Linked DNA regions of Rattus norvegicus. The protein of the gene in region 2 purifies or fractionates together with the protein of the main gene of each other region. This does not show direct contact. Links are inferred from orthologs where the notes say so. Each region holds a gene or a part of one and is shown on either strand. Other genes may lie near its edges.

What was found. Proteins that work in one complex are often made in the same cells at the same time.
Region 1: the proteins of Pagr1 (region 2) and Ncoa6 purify together in Homo sapiens (affinity purification with mass spectrometry; 3 studies listed by BioGRID and IntAct, with this or other methods). This does not show direct contact. The link is inferred for Rattus norvegicus from reciprocal best matches to the Homo sapiens genes PAGR1 and NCOA6.

The regions. Positions count from the first base shown.
Region 1 is NC_086021.1:164,388,976-164,392,995, forward strand, and holds the start of Ncoa6 (nuclear receptor coactivator 6), read right to left. Parts: upstream 2,801-4,020; coding exon 2,566-2,800; intron 1-2,565. UniProt on the Homo sapiens protein: Nuclear receptor coactivator that directly binds nuclear receptors and stimulates the transcriptional activities in a hormone-dependent fashion. Coactivates expression in an agonist- and AF2-dependent manner.
Region 2 is NC_086019.1:191,052,728-191,056,954, forward strand, and holds Pagr1 (PAXIP1-associated glutamate-rich protein 1), read right to left. Parts: upstream 2,774-4,227; 5' UTR 2,410-2,773; coding exon 1,931-2,409; intron 1,771-1,930; coding exon 1,688-1,770; intron 961-1,687; coding exon 761-960; 3' UTR 501-760; downstream 1-500. Other genes in the region: Prrt2 (proline-rich transmembrane protein 2), read right to left, coding at 4,223-4,227. UniProt on the Homo sapiens protein: Its association with the histone methyltransferase MLL2/MLL3 complex is suggesting a role in epigenetic transcriptional activation. However, in association with PAXIP1/PTIP is proposed to function at least in part independently of the MLL2/MLL3 complex.

The DNA.
Region 1 (4,020 bases), on a different chromosome or scaffold from region 2:
TTTAAAAAAAAAGAGTTATACAATGACAGAAGCCATCTAGGAAAGTCTATGGCAATCAAGTGAGCTTCCTGGAGATGGCCACCATTTTGCATGGCTGTGATGGGTTACTCTAGGAGGCACAGCCCCAGAGACTTTGTCCCAGGCTTGGTTCTCACTGCTGATGTGCCTTTCCTGCCATTATTACATAGCTAATGACTCTTGGGCATCAGCCCACCCTATTGGGCAAATTTCCTGCAGATCAACATGAAGATGGAACTTTTATGAATTAATGACTTTATAAAATTCAAATAGTTTTAGAAAGAATGTTTAAGGAGATAGTTTTAGTGTTAGAATCAAAAATAGAATGTGCCCCCCTTCATAGAATTGTAAGTAAAGGCTGCAGAATAAGGAATACCATAAGCTTTCATAAATTACACTGAGAAGAGAAATCGGCTTAGGACAGATTTGTGATCAAGGAAAACCATTCATTGTAGGTCAGGTCCAAGGATGAAGACAGTGTGCTCTATGGTAAAGCGAGGCCATGGGAAACTGTTGCTTTGAACTTATAATGAGCTTACAGAATGAAACACTGCTCTGAACTTACTATAGACATCCTTCTGTAACTCCCTTTTGTGTAACATTTTTTCTGTGAGGTAATTTTATAAAGAACTTTCGTCTAAGAAGGCATAAAAAGGTGGAAAGAAAAAATAAAGTATGGCTTTTTGCGGTTTTGCCCCATTCACCAAATGTATATACATGTATATATGTATGTATACTTGTACATACGTATGTAGTATATGTGTATGCATGTAAGTATGCACGTGCACTTGTGAAATTGATGAGACAGATGTTTAGGCCCAGCCAAACTGTGTGCGTGTATACGTGTGCATGCCTGACTTTCTTTCTTTCTTCTTCCTTCCCTATGAAATTGCCCAAAGTAATCAGCTTTTGGCTCCCAAAACAGTAAGAGAGAGTTAGAAGGCCAGAGGTCATCAGCCTTTGGCTTTTGGCCGATGCTGTTCAGAACCTGAATGTCAGGGCTGGCCCCAGCAATATAGTATAGCACTTTTATTTCTAAGTATACAGACCAAAGAATTGAAAGCAGGATCTGGAAGAGTATATCCACATTTACAGTAGCATTAGTCATAGTAGCTAAAGCACAGACGTAATCCAACTGCCCAGCAACAGATAACAGTAAGTGAAATGCAGAATATACATACATACATTCTGTGGGATATTTGGCCTGAAACAGGAAGGAAACCCTATCATGTGCTACAGCATGGGCAAACACTGAGAACATTATGTTAAATGAAATAAAGCAGTCATAAAGATACACAATTCTGCTTATATGAGGTAAATAATAGTACTCAAAATAAAGAAAGGGGGCTGGAGAGTTAGAGAAATGGCTGCTCTTCCAGAGGTCTGAGGTTCAATTCTAAGCATACACATGGCAATTCACAAATGGCTGTAGCTCTAGTTCCAGCAGATACGATGCCCTCTTCTGGCCTCTATGGGCACTGCATGCATGTAGTGCATTTACATGCATGTAGGCAAAATACCATATACATAAATAAATCTAATACTTTAAATTAAAAAACAATCATAAAAAGTACAATGGTGCTTATTAAGGGCTTGAGTAGGTAGGGAATGGGAAGTTTATAAGAGTTATAAAAATGCTACTAGTAATTGTTGCATATTTTAATTGTATTTCAGTGTCATTGAGCCATATATAAAAATTGTGAATATGGCAAACTATTATATGTATTTTACAATTAAAGATTTACAAAGTAAACTGAGGTAGTACTGTTTATAAATACATTTTACAGACAAGAAAGGAAATAAAAGATATCCGGCAACTCCAGACAAAGGCTGGCCTGTGTTTCCCAAATACTGGGATTAAAGGCGCATGCCACTGCTCAAATTACATCTTTCAATATTAATAAATTGGCTTTATGGAAAATGCTTTCTCAAAATCCAGTTATCTATAGACAGTGTTTCTATATGCCACTTAAGCCCATTCCAGCTCTTACACGATTAGATACTAAATATGAACAAAGAATTTACTTGTTCTAATGTAAAACAACAAAACAGAGCACTTGCTAAGGCAGTGGGATTAATATACTCACAAACTCTAAAAGTGCTTAGGCTATGTTTAGTTAAAGTGCTCTTAAAGAAGGAAACTGTGGCCCAGAGAAAGGCTAAATGAGCTGTGTGGGAAGCTATAGGTACCTAGCGAAATCAGAGAAGGTAAAAACAAGCTCCAAGAGTTAGGCCTACTGCTGTTCCATGACATTTGGACACGCCGAAAAACTTTGGCTCTTGGTTCCACAGGGCAGAGACACCAAAGTTTCTTCCAATCTGATCATTACTGAAAGCTATCTGTGCTCTGCACACATCAGGTGTCTTCATACTAGTTTAAATGTTAATATAGTTAAAAACTGTTTAATTACAATACAGTTACACTTTACTAGAAACTTTTCAAACCAGGCATGGTGGCCTAACCCTGTAATCCCAGCATCATGGCTGTAGGCAGGAAACTGTCAAAGCACACAGCAACAAGAAGGAGGCAAAAGCTAACGCAATTACCCATGTGTAACAAGCCGGGCACACTCTGTAAGATTGTATCCAGTTTCCATTTGAAGTCTTTATCATCTATATTTCCTTTGAAGGCTACAAAAATTGTAGAATCCTCCAAAATACTATCACTTTTTGTGTCATCATCTTCTAGTCCAGAGTCAAACTCCACCTCTGAGTCTCCCATTGTTGATGAACACAAGGAAGTATAGATGTCTTCAAAGTTTGGAAGGTCATCCAAAACCATGGTGTATTAGTCCAGAAGTATATGCAAAGTGAACAGTAAGAAAACCTTCAAAAAAAAAAAAAAGAGGAGAGGATGCAGAGTATTATAACATCATTACATATTCAACATATCATTTTAGTAAATATCTAAACATCTATACTTCTACAAAAGATGCAATTTATTTACTAAATAAAATTTTCTTTCGTAATGCCATTTGCTACATTTTTGGTAAGACTAGAATATTGGGAGGAATATACAAAGTGTCACAGGAGAATGAACGGACCTGAGTGTTCGCAGCACACACCTAAAGTCTCAGCAGGGACATCACAAGTTGAGCACACCTGGGCTGCAGAGTTCAGTTCTGGTCTCAAACAACAGCACCCAGAAAATCCTTTATAAAATAATTATACTTCCTCTCCAGCTGCATTTTAAAAATTCTAATAACATTAAAAGTAAACAAATAATATAAAGATTTTTTTAAGGCTAAAAAAGCTGCTGCTTAGCGGGAGAAAGACCAAGTCTTGAGAAGGCCTACAAACTGTGGGTATTTAGCAACCAATTCAAAGTAGGAACAGAAAGAAAAATAACCTAATGATATATGCCAGGGTCTTGGTAAAACAAGAATAAGCCAAACCAAACTCAGTAGCTGGAAAGCCATAACAGACTGATGAGATGGTTAAGCAGTGAATGCAATTTCTAAGCCTGGGCACCTGAGACTGTCTCAAAAAACATAGGAGGACTGGTGAGATGGCTTAGCAGGCAACTGCGACTGCTACCAAGCTTGATGCTAAGTTTGCTCTCTGAGATCCATATTGTGGAAGGAGAGAATTAAACTGCAAGTTGTTGTCTAACTTAAAACACACACTAAGCCCATTCACACAAACAATAAGTAAATACATGTTTAGACATTTTTTTTAAAAAAAGGAAAGACAAAATAAATGTTAGGTGTTAATAAAATAGATTAAAACAAAAATATAAAAGATTAATGAAACGAAGAGTCCTTTGATAACCAAATTAACCAAAATAAATAGACACAAATTAAGAAAATTAGGTGGCTAAAGGTACAGCTCAGTTGATATAGAGCTTGCCTAACATGCACAGAGCCCGGAGTTGATCCCCAGCACTGCATAAAGCAGGCACAGTGATACAAACCTGTAATTCCAGCACACGGAAGATGGAAGGAAGCAGGAGGATCTCAGAAATACAAGATCATATCTGGCTAAAAGGGAGTTTAAGGACAG
Region 2 (4,227 bases):
TCACAAGAAAGATTTCTGAAAAGCAGGAAGACTAGAGAGAGCCTTTGGAACAGACCCCTGGGTTGGAGTCTGGGGGGGTCCCGCCAGGGTCACAATCTGTACTCACATTTAGCAGGGTAGCTGGCAGCTGCAAGCCACAGGTCAGGAATTTCCCTCACCAAGCGGGACTTCCCTAAAGGGCTGGGCCGGCAGGGGCGGAGCTTGGGTATTTAAAGGGCCCTGCAACTGGATCTTTTCCTCCTTCAGGATGCACTGAAGACACAGCAGCTAGGTTCATACTCCCAGACTGGCGATTTCTGCTTCAGTGCTAACTGGTGGGGTTGGATGAGTCTAGGAAATCAGAGGACCTGGTGGGGGGGGCAGGGGGGTTGGGGTAAGGGGGAGGTGTTAGATGATGGCTGGCTGCACCTCTGCCTCATCTGGCTTCAGTATATCACTGTGGAGGGATACAGTTCTGCCTCTGCCCAAGTAAGAACATGTGCTTGGGTTGAGCGGCAGTCTCTCCTCTGAAAAGATCATCAGGCATCTTTTATTAGATTCAGCATATCCAGCTCAAAACTGTAAACAGACACTAAACAACAACAACAACAACAACAACACACACACACGCACACGCACACACACACACACACACACACACTCTCCTGCAAGGCACTGCGCTGGGAGCTTGAGGCTTTTTCTGTTACAAGAGCCTGGGATGGGAAAGGCCGGCCATGCTCAGCACAAAACAGTCTGCACCTGTAGGCCAGAGCAGCAACAGTCAGTACTTTCGCTGCCTGGGAAAGAGACTATTTCCTGAGGATCGGAGTGGAGGGCTGGCAGGGCTGGGGCCTTCTGAGTCTAAGCTGAAGAGGTCTCTCCCGGTCCGAAGGATCTGCTCCTCTAGTTTCTTATGTCGCTTCATGTCTGAGAGGACTTTATCCAGACGCGCCTCCCGTTTCTGGCTCCGGGCTGAGCTTCCTAAGAAGGTAGGAAATGTGACACCATTAAGCCAGTGAGCATCCCCAAGCCCCTACACGTAGAGATCTTGTTAAATACATACTTTTTAGGCCTGGGGAGCACAGAGAAGCAAATGTTGAGGTTTGGGCCACACACAGGATGGCTGATATTAAGCTAAGATACCCATAATGCAATGGCTGGGGAACATAGCCATCAAGTGCAAAGGTCCTGGGGCAGGAGGCAGATTTATTCTGAGTACAGGGCACTGGGGCAGAGGCACTGGACATGCTCTTCCCTGTGATGGAATCCTCTGGAGGAGTACAAGCAGAGAAAAGACAAGACTTCACTTAGAAGGACTACTCTGGTTGCTAAGACCAGGACTGCGGATACTAGTTAGAACTGTGAAAAGTGTCAACAAGAGAAATCGAAGGTGGAACTGTAGAAGTGGAGCTAATTAATGCAACTTGCTGTTGGCTTAACCAGCTGGGAGAGAGCTCAAGAATGATTCTGAAAGTAAACTCTAGAAAGGCGACGGGCTGGGATGTCAGGAGATCTTGGACTTTTGGGAAGGTTTGTGGGTCTCTGACAGAAAAGTATAGCATTGACCTAAGTCAGAAATAGGCTGCCACTGTGTGAATGCTCCATCTTGCATGACGGCAGAAATCAGCCAAGGCCTCAGACCAGCCCTCTTCTGAGGTAACTAAAAGAGGCCCTTTACTTCCCCTCAATTCTTCCCTCTCATTCCTACCTGGTGTACGTCTTCTGTCAATCAGTGAGTCCTTGGGTGTCACTGGCTCATCATCAAAGTCAAACTCTGTAGGCATGTGCGGCCTGAAACAGGGTGGACAGAAAGCGAAGGGTGAGAGAAGCTCTCCCAAACACCTGCTGGCATACCCCAGCCCGCTGCCTCTCCCTTTCCTGCTCTCCCCTCCCTCCAGTTTCAGTGTTCAAGAGAGAAGTCCCGTGAATAATGTGTAAAGCATGGCCTCACTTTTCCTCCTCCTCCTCTTTGGCCTCTGGCTCCTCATCTGATCTCTCCTCTTCACTCTGGGCCTCAGGAGTAGGCGGCCGGCGGGGTAGGATCTCCGCTTGAAGCTCCAGAGTACCTTGGGTAGCCAGCAGTTCATAGAGCCGCTGGATTTCGGAGGGTGGGGGCATCCAGGACTGCCCATTGGCCGGCAGCTCCACCTCCTCGTCGCTGCAGGGCACGCACCAGTCTTCGGATTCTCCCTCGGCACGCTCGTCGCTCACAGCGCTGGAAGCTTCTAGTGCCTCCTCAGCCCTGGATGCCTCACGCCCGGCCTCCTCCTGACTGCCTTTCCCCTCTTCCTCGGCCTTACTAGCCGAGACAGAGGGACCTCCAGTGTCCTCCACCGCCAGAGCCTGGAGGCCGGAAGTCACTTCCCCTTCTTCAGACAGAGGCGCCGCTGTGCTGCCTGCAATGGTTCCATGGCCCAGGGCAAGGGACATAGAGTACTAGAGAAGAGCCCAGCAATATAGGAGACTCTGGAGTACCAAACCAGGGTGCCTCACCCAAAAGGCTTTAGATCAAGTGGGGGTCTAAGAAATCACCAACGAGGCAGTCCAACAACTGACTGCGGCCAGAGCACGGTCCCCAGGAGGGGGCGCTCAGGTCCCTGCTAGGACAGACCCCACCCCACGGATCCAGAATTCTGCCGTTCCCAGGGACCGGCAGGAGACACGCTCGGAGCTGGAAAGGGAAGGGCCTGCTTTCTCGCTTTCACATCGCCTTCTCCATCACCTGGATGGAAGCCATTTTTTTAAACCCGGCAAACCTAGTTCGCGTCTACTCAGCAGCGGTACAAACCTGGAGCTAAAACCCGCCTCCCTGGCTGCGCAGGATCGCAGTACGCAGGCGCAGAGAAATGGCGCGCGGAGGCTCCGTGGTAGTCAAAACTACTTGGAAGGGGAAAAAAAAAAAAAAAAAAAAAAGAGACCACTTGCGCATGCGCAATGAGGCCCTCAGGCATCACTAACTTCGGCCCATACTAAAGATGGCCACTGCGGCAGCGCATGCGTATTCCGTTCACTAGGGCCTGCCAGAAAGCAGTACCTTGACTCTGCAAACCAACACAGGGACCAACTGAGGCCAGTCTCATGCATTCTCTGTTTATTAGTGTTTAAGACTCATGCAGCATTCAGCATACAAAAAGGGAGACTCAGTTTTATTTTTTTAAAGGAATTTTAGTTTTCCCCCCAACTTTTTTTAAAGAAAGAAAACAAACAAACAAACAAAAAAAACACCGACCAACTCCGAAATGCATCGCAGCTGGCTCTCTGCCTCCTCAGTGGGCTGTCGCGTGCAACAAACCTCCCTCGTCCTCTTAGAGAATATTACAGAGCTCGCGCCCTTCCCTTGCTCCCTGCAGTTGAGAACTTTGGTCCTTTTTAAATTTTTTTTAAAATTCTACTGTTTACAAAGCACATAAATGGACCTTCGAGAAACTCTTGAGGTTAAAAAGCCCAAATGGGCAGGTCAATTTAGGCTGACTCTTCAGCCACAGCTATACCCCTTCCTCCCCTGAATGTTCAGAACCAGGACTCCCACTCTTGTGCAAGTACCCCAGGTGAGGTCTGGCTTGCCAGCTTTGCGACCCAATAGGCACCTTAGGGGTTAGGGTGGGGGTATGATCTGGGCCTGGGTGGTCCCCAGTAGAGAACAGTCAGAGCCCCTAGCTAGGCAGACCTCTCCCCACACCATCCTTCTTCCCTCAGCCTGACCTAAGTACTGCAGGTTTTGCAGACTAAGTGTTGGCAGGAGGGTGAAGACGCTAAGGGAAAGATGAGAAGGGGTCAGGGGATGTGGCAAGGGGAAAGAATGTTAGGGAAGGGAAGAAAGGGATGGGTTAGATACCAAGACAATGAAAGTTGGGAGGTCAGGGTTAATTAAGGTTCAGAGGATTCCAGGGGCAGGGAGAAGTGCAAGGAGGCTGGGAGGGATGCGGAGGTGCAGAGTACAATTTAGATGTTCAGGGAGGCGTCCAGAAGTGCAGAGGGGTTTTCAGAGTGCAGGACTAGGGGGGTCAAGAGGCAGGAGGGGAGATCTGCAGGCAAAAGTGCAGGGAGAAAGGAAGCCTACGGCTGGCAGAGGAGCCTGGCAGGATGCAGGAGTAGGGAAGAAGCTGTAAACAAGGCCCGCTCAGGCTCCCTCAGTCCCTAGGGGTGGGGGCCAGGGCCATGGACTGGGATTCTCCCAGGATTGGGATGGACCCAAGACAGCTCCCAACAGGAAGAAAAGTCTTGGAATGCAGGGCAGAGCCCCTCACT